Nothobranchius furzeri: one gene and its partners. The protein of the gene in region 2 binds, or shares a complex with, the protein of the main gene of each other region. Links are inferred from orthologs where the notes say so. Each region holds a gene or a part of one and is shown on either strand. Other genes may lie near its edges.

Region 1 (4,186 bases), on a different chromosome or scaffold from region 2:
ATTAACTAATGTCCTAAAATGAACTTTTGTTGGAAAATGAGCATTTCAGATGTTCCTGCGGCGATGGATTGTGTGTAATACCTTCCACCCAAGTCTGCGTCACTGCAGGCTTGGGTGAAGTGCGGATCAAGGGTGCAAAGCGGGCGTGATCGGCTTTCCCATTGAGAATTGACGCCTCACACACCTGGGTCAGTATTGAGCTAGTGTGGCAGTGTGAGTATTGGGGTTGGGCCAATATCAGGCTGTTTGGACCATTGAGGTGGACCTGCTGTTAATTTTATCGTTTTATTTTTTTTTTGTATATTTATGTCGATGGTTTGGACATGGTGCTTAAGGTAACTCCTGGTCATGTGGTTAGATGACTTCTGTGTGCTGAAGGGTCCAAGGTCACTGATCCTTGGAGGGTTCCTGAACTGTGTTGTAGAGGAACCTTCTTCCTCAGGCCCCTGCTGTGGAGGTAACCTGCAACAGGAAGACTTCCTGTCTGATCTGAGACAAATCTGAAGGTTTCATTACAAACTTTTATTGAAGGACTTTTGTAATAAATGACTACAACAGTACAAATGGTAAAGAAAAAAACTGGGATTTCATTCTAAAACAGAACCCAGTGAAAGTCTTCACTCTGATATCAGAGGTCCAAAATCAACCACAGAAGTTTGAGGGGAACCTACGAGTCAGAATGGATGGTGACCTGGTGCAGGATCAAAAGTCTCAAACGTTAGGCCCATAAAGAAACGGGCCGACTGTTTCCTGCGAGTTTGGACGGGTGTGTGTCCGGTCTAACATCAGCTACCCAAAGATGTGGGTGGAGTCCTCAGTTCTCCACCTCCTCTTCAGGCTCCTCCTCCATGCATTGCTGCTGCTCCTCTTCATCAGCCTCGTCATCCTCTCTGCTCTTGTCATTCTCAGAATCAACCTTTTTTTCTTTATCTTTGCGTTTCTGCTCAGAAACCTCCTTCTTTCCCTTCTGGTCCTTCTTATAGACTGTGGAGAACAAAGACATTGTTAGCTGGTCCGGCTGCTGGAACACCTGGAAGCTTCAGCAGGAACTTGAACCTGATGGCTTTTCTGTGTTTACTCAGGGGTGAAAAAGTTCCTATCGACACAAAAAAAAAAAAAAAAATCTGATAAGAAAACCACATTTACAAGAATGCTGCGTTTACGGTCCGTCCAGAGTGGGAAATCCAAGGAACTGGCCTTGGAACCCCATCATGATTCGGCATTCCGACAGAGCCAGCCTCAAACTGGATCTGCTGCCTGCTGATGTCTTCTGACAGACTATTCTTAATGATGTTCTCACCTTCCAGAGCTTCCCTGAGAGGCTCCATGAACCGCTCGAACTCCATCTCCTCCATGGCAGCCAGAACGTCTCCCGCGTTCAGAGTTTTCCTTTTAGCCTTCATGGCAAAGTTGTTCGCACTGCAAGGAAAAAGGAAACTGGCTTGAGGAGCGTTGACGGGAACCATCCAGGTCTTTCTGCTGGGTCACAAATGTGTTAAAAGCTTGATCTTGTGAACAAAAATGCAGTTTTATTGGCTTTTTTTCCTCACCAGGAGGTTGCATACAACACAAACACGCTGGCTGCCTGAGAGATGGCTCTGCGAGCTTCTTTGGACACGTTCACCCCATCTGGGAGCTGTGAGAAACAAACGGTGCGGAGGAGTTATCTCAGAGCTTCACTCTGGAGTCAGAGCCAGCTCGCAACTGCTCTTTTTCACTCACAAAAAGCTAATTCACACATGAACGTGTCAAAACGTTTAAAAATGACCAAAATCGTTCAGATTCATCATCAAAACACTGAACTTTATCAGATTTATTTAGAGATGACTTATAATTAAAAGGTCTTAACTCCGGAATAAATATGAAGTACTGATAATTTTCTCATTTCAAACAAACGGAATCTGAATGTTATTTTTGATTCAGACTCATTTTGAATTTGAGCAGATTTTTTTTTCCTTTTAAATCAAAATGCAGCAATTATTAGATCAGAATCTAAAACCCCAAATCTGATTTTTATTGCTTTTTTTTTTTTTGGTCACTGACTATAAAATGGTTTTGTTTTCTAGAACATGACAAGGGCAAGTAAAATTGTATTTTGTAGACTTTTCTTGAAGCTGGTGAAATCCAGGAGGGACTGGTTAACCCTGGTTACCTTTAATTTCTCATCCTTCTTACAGATCTGTCATGTTTGAAGGGCCAGTAGCCTGAAGGCAATTATCTCCATCTCCGTGGGCTGTTATTAGAAACAGTACCCTCAACCAGAGGAGATCTGATGAACCAAAGCTCTAAGAGCCAAACCGTGAACGTCTCTGGTTTCATGTGACGTCACCAACACCCACAACAACTGTAAACTGGGACTGAATGAACACACAGCTGATCTGTGGTCTGTTTAATCCGGACAGTGGGTGGAATCAGACGGTAACCGGTGGAACCCGGACCCGGCGGGTTTCACTCACCGCCTCCTTGATGATGCGGGTGATCACCGCGTTGGGAAGATTTAGGTCTTCGGGCCTTTCCGCCATTTCTCCCGAACCACTCCGTTTCCCCCCGGTCGAGTCTCCGGTAGATGTCAGCGCGCGTAGTTAACGTGACTCGAATCCCTCGTTCTAACGTGAAAAGCTCGCGCGCCGCTGCTCAAACCGTCGTTTGTTTCGGGACGTTTCCCGCGAAGCTTTCAACCACCACAAGTCCGCCTGCGTCAACGATGAACTTTGACCTTGATGCGAATGACGTACTTCCTGTCTTGAAAACTAAAAGTACCAGCCAACATTTTCAATAACAGTCTGCAGCTAGACGTATATATGTCGATGAGCTAGACCTTGGAGGAGGAAACGTCAGCGTTTATTTATTTTTTTACTTTATTTAACAAACAATGAGTATACAACATAGAAACGAATGAAGTATACAAAACAACAGAACATGAACACACAAAGCCAGAGGTAAAAGAAAAAAGTAACAATTATAAGAATACACGCAAAAATTCACATATATATTGTTTTGAGAGCTTTTTTTGTTGGTGGATTCTGATATTGATTTTATGTACAATTCCACATGCTTAAAAATGACAGAAATTTGGTGTTTTGTTAGTAAACTTACATTTATGAATAAAGAATTTAGCTAAAAGTATTAACAGATTTATCATAAAAAAAACATTTATCATTCTTCATGGGGAACTTAAAGAAACAGAACAAAACATCTTCCCATCGTAAAGAAAACTCCCTTAAAATATGGACAGTAACAAACCTGCTAAATTCCTTCCAGAATCTTTGTGTAAAAGAACAGCACCAAAAAAGATGTGTCACAGTTTCTGGATGATCCCCACAGAAAGTACAATTAGTGTTTATGACCCTTTTAAATTTTACCATGTAATGACTGGCTGGATAACATTTATGTAGAAGTTTAAATGAGACTTCTTTCACCTTATTTACAATAAAATATTTCTGGGGGATCATCCAGACTGTCTTCCACTTGATATCTGGAACATATCGGTTCCAATAAGATATTATATACGGGAGAGAGACGATATCTTTCTGTAATAAACTACGTATTCTCTTATTGCTGTTACCAAGTTCTAGAGAAAAGCAGATTTTTCCTATTGGTGACTCAACTGGATTAGGGAGAGTGACTGAGGTAGATATTGAGCTGTCAGTGTTTTTATATAACATTAAAGCCCCTGAGGGTATGGCACCAAGCACCATTGACAATTCCTGAACACTGATTGGGAAATTATATAGGGCAATAAAGTCGATGTAAGTAAGTAGTTGTCCCTCTTTATTAACCAGCTGAGCCACCAATAGGATCCCATTCTGGACCCAAGTTTCCAGGAAAAGTGATTTATTTTTAAATAAAATATCTCTGTTGTTCCAGATAAGATATTTGTGAGGTGAGAAGTTGTGTTTATAAATGAGGGTCCACGCTAAGAGGACTTGCTTATGGAAGGGTGAAAGTTTTATAGGGAGTTTCTCAACATTGTAATTACAATTTAAAATAAAATTAAAGCCACCAAAACAAGAGAAAATATGATATGGTATAAGGTTCCAGATAGAGGTATGGTTTTTAAGAAAATGTTTAGCCCAGTTAATTTTGAAAGTGTTATTTAAAGTAGAAAAGTCTAGGACGTTAAGCCCTCCTGATTCGTACTTATTCATCACAACAGTTTTCCTAATATAATGCGTACGGTTTTTCC
Region 2 (3,992 bases):
GGTGTTTTTCCTTCCAATTTTTCTTTTTCCTTATATTTTCTGATCCTAATTTGAAAACAAGGCCATTTAAAGGTCAAGTTGTCAGATGAATGGGTGTAAATGGTTCCAGTGAGGTCTGTTAAACTCTAAATTCGGATCACTTTACAGTCATCGTTCCAAAAATAAGACCATATGGTCGCTGTTTTCACAAGTCAAGGGAATAACTGTCACATATGTTCACATAAGGCTCTGTGTTTGTCGGATTGAAAACGCATTTCCTCATGCAACTAAACGCTGCGATGGTGGCCGATAAACCGTTTCATATATTTCCAAGGCAGCAAATTTCAAAAGTACCTACCACCAGACCAGACGGTGTTATTCTTTCACCGCTACCAGCACCCTCTCCTCTCGAGTGCGATAGTAAACACGTTCACGTAAGAGGGAGGAGCCTCTCAAGCTCCTCCCAGAAACCATCAAAGATCAAATATGTAAAAAAAAAAAAAAAAATACCAACCCTCTAAATGTGTAGTTTCAAGCTGAAGAAAAACGGAAGTGATGAATGCTACATGAAGTTAGTATATGGAACTCAAAAGTATTCAAAATTCAATACATAAATAATATCTGCATGAAGAAATACTAGACAATCATGTAATCTGACAATAAAATGATGAAATAACAGAATGGTAAAAGAATGAAAAATATTTCATAATATTGAGCTTAGATTTTACATAATCCGTTATTTCATTTCATTGTCAGATTACATGATCGTCTAGTATTTCTTCATGTAGATTTTTAATACATAATGTCTTATTTGTATATTGAATTTTGAATACTTTTGAGTTCCATAAAAGACACGTGGGTTACAATAAATGGAAACAAAGTTAATGGTTTTTTGCACACTGCCAGAGTTTGTGTGTTTGTGTTTACATGATGAGGAGTGCAACTTTGACCTTTTCAGTGTTGAAATTTACTGATAAAACACACAATTTAACCTTACAAGTAGATCAATTCGTAGCTATGCTGGAAAGTTAACCTAACTAAAACGTATTTTGTTAATTTTGTTGTTGTGCGGCGATCGTATCAGAGTGCGCGGGTGTTTATCTTTGTTCACAAACGATCTTTGTTCTTCCGGCTCTGCTCTGGTCTCGCGGCAGTTGCAGGAACGCGCGAAATCCAGAAAACACAAATCCGGTCGGCTACGCTGTCAGAGAACGACCAACGCTTTAAAATACTAATATTAATATATAATTTAGACGCCTACGGCGAAGCAAATGGTTGTTTAAACATATATGACGGTGTTGCAGCTGAAAAACTGAATCAGAGGATGGTTTTGCAAAACAGCGGACGGTACAGGGCGGACCGTGGACAAAGTGGAGCAGATGTGGATAACCAGTAAGTTCGCTTGTAATTTCTGTTTATTAGATGTAATTGTGTCTGTGGAAGTACTTCAGCGTGTTCCAAAATGAGACGAAGAGCTAATGTAGCTGCTTGTCTGAACCAGGGATGATGGCTCGTCGGCCGTCAAGCGGCTCGAGCGCAGCCAGTTCACTGACGACATGGACGCTCGTTTCGGCTTCGAGAGGATGAAGGAGCCCGGGGAGAAAACAGGCTGGCTGATCAACATGCACCCTGTGAGTCCACACTCTGAAGTCTACCAGGTTTCTGTCTCAGGAGACATTTAACGCGTTTGTTCGCGTTTGTAGACGGAGATCCTAGATGAGGACAGGAGGATGATCAGTGCTGTAGACTACTACTTCATCCAAGAGGATGGAAGCAGATTCAAGGTTGGTTTATTTAAAAAGCCTCATGCTGGATGACATATTAATGATTGATGTTTATTCTGCCCTGACATGCTCTTCCTGATCTTTACTCCTTGTAGGTGGCACTTCCTTTCAAGCCTTATTTTTACATTGCTACTAGAAAGGTAAGTCTGATTTTGATTCAGGTTTTGAGTCGTTTTATCAGATTCCTATAGAACTTAATTATTCTTTTCAGAACTGTGAAAGGGAAGTCATTTCATACTTATCCAAGAAGTTCCAAGGAAAGGTGGCAAAACTCGAGATGCTTCCAAAAGAGGACTTGGATCTGGTCAGTTTTAGTTTGCAGTCAGAGGATCCATTGTTGACAACGCACTAAAAATCTACTTCTCAATTTCTGCAGCCAAACCATCTAGTGGGCCTGAAGAGAAACTACATCAAACTGTCGTTCAACACCGTTGATGATCTCATCAAAGTGAAGCGTGAGATCGCTCCGGCTGTAAGGAAGAACCGAGAGAGGGAGCAGTCCAACGACTCCTACACCTCAATGTTATCAAGGTAGGAATGATCTGTTGTGTCTGCTGGGTTCCTGAAAGCATCACGTTCCTAGTGTTCTCTGGATTTTGTTGTTTTAGCGCTCTGTCAGGTGGCAACGTCACCTCAGCTTATGATGATGGGATGTCGAAAAGTATTGTGGATCAGCTGGAGAACATAGTGGACATGAGAGAGTACGATGTGCCCTACCACGTCCGACTCTCCATCGACCTGAAGATTCATGTGGTGAGGACACTTTATAATAAAACCTTGGATTATTATTTACATAAATGTTGTAATAATCTGTGCTATCTCTGCCTCATTCAGGCTCACTGGTACAACGTTCGTTACCGTGGCAGCGCATTCCCGCCAGAGATCGTACGCAGAGAGGATCTTGTGGAGCGCCCGGTACGTATATTTTGTTTTTTGTCTTGAAAACACATTATTTATTCTCACTGATTACATTAAGTCTTGTATTATTGAAATTTTTTTTTTTGGATATTTAGGACCCGGTTGTTTTGGCTTTTGACATCGAGACAACCAAACTTCCTCTGAAGTTCCCAGACGCAGAGACGGATCAGATCATGATGATTTCCTACATGATAGACGGACAGGTGGGTTTAACACAGAGCCGTTCGCAAAGTTATCCTTTACCTCATCGTGTTTGCGTCAGTTTGCCAACTCGTGTTTTATTTCTTCAGGGGTTCCTGATCACAAACAGAGAGATTGTCTCTGAGAACATTGAGGATTTTGAGTTCACTCCCAAACCGGAATACGAAGGGCCTTTCACTGTTTTTAATGAGGCCGATGAGGTCTAGACCTGTGCAGATTCAGCTGATTATTACCGTATGAAGTGCTTTTGCATTAAAGTGTTTCTGGTTGCAGGCTGGTCTCATTCAGAGGTGGTTTGATCACGTTCAGGAGACCAAACCAAACATATTTGTAACCTACAACGGAGACTTCTTTGACTGGTGAGCTGATTGTAATTAAAAACTCACAGCCCAGTTTTTAAATCACGTTTATTCTTTGTTAATGGGGAAAAACTTTATAAAATATCCAGGATTAATTTTAAAAATAGCAGTTTATTAGAAACTTCTATTTTGTGAGGGTGTTTTTGGTCCTCTTCAGGCCTTTTGTCGAGACCCGAGCTGCCCACCACGGCCTGAGCATGCACAGGGAAATCGGTTTCCAGAAGGACAGCCAGGGGGAGTACAAGTCCAGCCAAGCCATCCACATGGACTGCCTGAGGTGGGGATGATTCTGACTCCCACCTACTGACAAGGTGTGCTGATTATTTTAATGGGAATTGTTTTCTCACGCGTTCATTCCAACTTTTACCAGGTGGGTAAAGAGAGACAGCTACTTACCTGTGGGAAGTCACAATCTCAAGGCAGCAGCCAAGGCTAAACTGGGCTACGACCCGGTGGAGCTGGACCCTGAGGAGATGTGTCGCATGGCAACGGAGGAGCCACAGGTCCAGAAACAAGATTTGAGTTTTAAATCCTATAAAAGAAAAGATTAGTCAGTTAAAAATACATTTGTTTTTCTTTTCCCACAGACTTTAGCCACCTACTCTGTGTCTGACGCCGTGGCCACGTATTACCTGTACATGAAATATGTTCACCCCTTCATCTTTGCGCTGTGTACCATCATCCCCATGGAGCCTGATGAGGTTCGTCTCAGATTTTTGTAGTAAAAGAAGACGTATCTGCTGATAAAGAG
Region 3 (3,820 bases), on a different chromosome or scaffold from region 2:
ATAAGTCATCAGTCTTACAAATATTTTAAAACACCAATACATAAAGAATAAAAGCATTTTACTTTCTTAAAGGTGAGTTAAATGATAATTATATATAGTTAAATCAAATATAACATAAATGAAAGGGTTTTACCTGGGAGCTGTGGGTCCTTCATGTCTGTTCCCGGAGGCTTTGACGCCGGACTGTGTCCTTACGTGTGAAGAGATCCTCAGAGGGCTAAAGCACTCCTCCCAATCCTATTAATACTGTGTATTAGTGGCCTGATCATCATGTCCTCTGGCACAAACTGACCTCATAAAAATGCTGAAAACATACTTTTGAAGACTAAAGCACCTATGTACCTAAGCATATAGCACATAATGTTGGTTATTTGTTGGTGATTATATTAAAACAGCTGTTCTTAGAATAAACTTCATCTGCATACGAGTTTTAAACAAACGGTGAATATGATGTTCGTTAATTAGGTAATACTGTATAACTTCAGGAAAATCTTAATTTTTGTGATTGTTTGTCCTAAGAAATATATTTTTACAGATAGTTAGACCTATATGGAAACTATTGCCCTACAGATGTCAAGGAAGTAAAAGGTCAAAATGGCATTTATAAAAATATATATATATATATTTGGACTATCAGAGGGGTGTTGTGTGTAGTCAGTATTTAAACAGAGTTTAAGGCAGCTAATTTAGGAAATGTAGTCAGTTTCCCCCCCAGCAATCTAAATCCAGCAGCATGACTAAAGTGATGAGTTACTCAAATTTACCCTAACTGTAACATGTTTTATCTGAGAGTATAAGGATGGATCCTGGTCCAGAATAACACCAAGGATCCTGTCACTAGTACTGGAGGCCAAGTGAATGTCTTCAAGCTGTGATCTTAAAACTCTCAGGTCCAAAAAATACAGCCAATGTCTTCTCTGAACATGGAAATAGAAAAGTAAGAGTCTTTCAGGTCTTTAAGACATGTTTGTAATCTGATTACCTGGTTGGATTTTGTCCATCTCTTGACAATGATCAGCTAAGAATGATGGAGGTGGTGATGATGATGGTGTAAGCAGAGATTTAACAAAGAGACACTATTTCACTTACACATACTTTTTTCCAGAAACGTAAAATTGCTATTGTGATATAAGGCTCTTATCTGCCAACATTGTACTTTAAAAAGTAAACTGCAGGGAATTGATTTCAGTAGTTTGGTGTCTTCAGCGCCTTTTACCGCCCTCCAGTGGACCACTTGTGAGCTGACCCCAACTTATTTTTACTGTTTTTAATTTCTCATAATGTAGAAAAATAAAAATCACAACATTAAAACCTCTAATGCGTGAATTAAAACTAGAAATATCGCCACACAGCGTCACCAAATTGTACATTCACTCCAGAATCTTGCTGCTACATATTTTGACTGACGTCAATTCTAACCAATGACAAGGCATCCTTTAACAATTGTCCAATCACAGACGAGTATTTGTTGGCGGGGTCTGAGCTTTTGACCAATAAACACCATTCGCTCCACGATGTACCGGAAGCACATGCTGGCTCGAGGCGGTTGATGTTGTTGTCTGGGACGTGTAAAATGAGAGATATTCGAGTGTTTTTATAACAGCAAAACACGATTGTGAGGCCATAGGAAATGTCATCAGCAACGCCCGTTCCCTCGGCGGAGCTCGAAGCTGAGCGGTGCGGGAGTGAGGAGGAGAACCGTGCTGTGGAGGCAGAGGACCGGGGTCAGCAGCTGACAGGCCCGGCCGTCGTGCCCCATAACCGTCTGTCCAAACTCCCGCTGGCCCGCATCAAAGCTCTGATGAAGACGGATCCAGACGTGTCCTTGGCTAGCCAGGAGTCTGTGTTCATCATCGCTAAAGCTACGGTAAAACGGTTTACTCAGTAAGAAGGTCAATGTTTTCATGTCACGTCCCCCACGTTTTATCTAGAATAAACCTTTTAGTCCACAAAATAGTTAATATAAACCAATTGCCATTGTTTAATGCAAAACACACGTGTTAGTTTCAGGTAAAATACACCAAACCTACAAGTTTGACCTAATTTTCCCTTTTTTCCAGGAGTTGTTTGTTGAGATGATTGCCAAAGATGCTATGGTGTATGCTCAGCAAGGAAAGAGGAAAACTTTACAAAGAAAAGACTTGGGTAAGAGCTGAAACATTTCAAAGTGACTTCAGAAATTGATTCCTTTTATTTTGATACATTTTTTAAAGTCATTTTTAAGAGTATTTCGAAATTAAGAATACTTCTAGCAACATAATTTTATAGAAACAAATATTGCTACATCAAGAGGAGCCAGTTAAGGTGGCTCGGGCATCTGGTTAGGATGCCTCCCTGGACACCTCCCTGGTGAGGTTTTCTAGGCATGTTCAACTGGGAGGAGACCTAAAGGAAGGCCCAGGACACGCTGGATGTTTTTGGGCTGGCCAGGGAACGCCTTGGGATTACCCTGGAGGAGCTAGCCCAAGTGGCTGGGTAGAGGGAAGTCTGGGCCTCTGTTTAGGCTGCTGCCCCAGCGACCCGACCCCGGATAAGCGGACGAAGTTGGATGCTACGTATTTGTGTATCTCCATGAAAAGTGGAAGTGCTAGAGAATATAATGACTTTAAAAGTCATGTTGTTCAAAACAAAATGGTGATTATATATAAAGAAGGAAGCTTTAGTTAGGTTGATAGAAATCACTAAGTGCCTCCTGATTTTTATTTCGAGAGGCACTATATAAAAGCTTGTTTCTTCTTCATTACTCAGTAGCTAAAAAGCAGTATTTATGTTAATAATAATGTTATAATTTCATCTGGTGGAGAAAACACTTTAAACAGGCATGAAGTGATTCAGTTTTAACAATATTAATAATAATAATAAATGAAAATATTAATTGCACACTCTTCTACTTTTCCTCCACAGACAATGCAATAGAGGCCATAGATGAGTTTGCATTTCTTGAAGGTAAATCATAAAAAAAGACATGAAACAATCCTGCAAAGTTTTGCAAATTATTCCATGTCATCTTTTGACTCTGGTATTTTAACTTCACCCACATGCAGATGTGTTTGTGTGTCTTATCATGTTGACCTCTTTCCTCTACAGGAACACTGGATTAAAGATTTTTTATAAGACCACATTAAAAAGATCCTCAACTGTCTAAAATGTGTTTCATTGTTGAATCACAGAACATTTTTTCTAAGTCAACCTCACAGATTGATTAAATGTTTTTATATGACAAGCTCTAACTTTGAATTTGTCTGATATTGTGTAAATGGTTTTGTAAATATGTGAGTAATGTTACTGGAAAATGGAATAAACTTTTGTTTTAACAACACATTTTCATCTTGTGTGGAAACTGCAGAAATATACAATTCCCAGTAATGGAGTTTTTAACAGAATTGTACAATTATAACATAATTAATTGAAGGTTGACTTTTTTGTTTTAAAAACACTTTTCTTTTATTGGTTGGATAAAATATGCAAATTTTTTTAGATAGGGATTTTGGGTTTTCATGAGCCGTATGCCAAAATCATCAATATTAGAAACAATGAAAGGCTTGAACTACTTCAGTTGTGTGTAATGAATCTAATATATATGAAAGTCTGTTAATCTGTACATTACAGAAAATAATGAACTTCATCACAATATGCTTATTTTTTAGAAGGACCTGTATCTGCTGTATTTGGGATCATTGTCCCATTTCAGGACCCAGTTTTTCCAGGTGTGGCAAAACAATTTAGATTTCAAATGTCACAACAAACTTGGCAGAGATGACAAAGCTGCTAATAACAACTACTCTTATTAGCTTATCTTAATTTACACAAGTTTATCATA

Evidence for each region.
Region 1: pole (region 2) and pole3 share a complex: the UniProt entries of both Homo sapiens proteins name them as parts of the DNA polymerase epsilon complex. The link is inferred for Nothobranchius furzeri from reciprocal best matches to the Homo sapiens genes POLE and POLE3.
Region 3: pole (region 2) and pole4 share a complex: the UniProt entries of both Homo sapiens proteins name them as parts of the DNA polymerase epsilon complex. The link is inferred for Nothobranchius furzeri from reciprocal best matches to the Homo sapiens genes POLE and POLE4.

What each region holds. Positions count from the first base shown.
Region 1 is NC_091749.1:66,564,648-66,568,833, forward strand, and holds pole3 (DNA polymerase epsilon subunit 3), read right to left. Parts: upstream 2,711-4,186; 5' UTR 2,523-2,710; coding exon 2,457-2,522; intron 1,637-2,456; coding exon 1,551-1,636; intron 1,420-1,550; coding exon 1,301-1,419; intron 985-1,300; coding exon 815-984; 3' UTR 502-814; downstream 1-501. UniProt on the Homo sapiens protein: Accessory component of the DNA polymerase epsilon complex. Participates in DNA repair and in chromosomal DNA replication.
Region 2 is NC_091757.1:45,294,726-45,298,717, reverse strand, and holds the start of pole (DNA polymerase epsilon catalytic subunit A), read left to right. Parts: upstream 1-1,129; 5' UTR 1,130-1,303; coding exon 1,304-1,371; intron 1,372-1,480; coding exon 1,481-1,610; intron 1,611-1,682; coding exon 1,683-1,763; intron 1,764-1,858; coding exon 1,859-1,903; intron 1,904-1,974; coding exon 1,975-2,067; intron 2,068-2,139; coding exon 2,140-2,294; intron 2,295-2,371; coding exon 2,372-2,516; intron 2,517-2,597; coding exon 2,598-2,678; intron 2,679-2,776; coding exon 2,777-2,884; intron 2,885-2,971; coding exon 2,972-3,082; intron 3,083-3,155; coding exon 3,156-3,241; intron 3,242-3,398; coding exon 3,399-3,518; intron 3,519-3,611; coding exon 3,612-3,744; intron 3,745-3,828; coding exon 3,829-3,942; intron 3,943-3,992. UniProt on the Homo sapiens protein: Catalytic component of the DNA polymerase epsilon complex. Participates in chromosomal DNA replication.
Region 3 is NC_091748.1:55,970,091-55,973,910, reverse strand, and holds pole4 (DNA polymerase epsilon subunit 4), read left to right. Parts: upstream 1-1,508; 5' UTR 1,509-1,630; coding exon 1,631-1,867; intron 1,868-2,060; coding exon 2,061-2,145; intron 2,146-2,904; coding exon 2,905-2,946; intron 2,947-3,087; coding exon 3,088-3,101; 3' UTR 3,102-3,319; downstream 3,320-3,820. Other genes in the region: serine/threonine-protein kinase NIM1, read right to left, coding at 134-155. UniProt on the Homo sapiens protein: Accessory component of the DNA polymerase epsilon complex. Participates in DNA repair and in chromosomal DNA replication.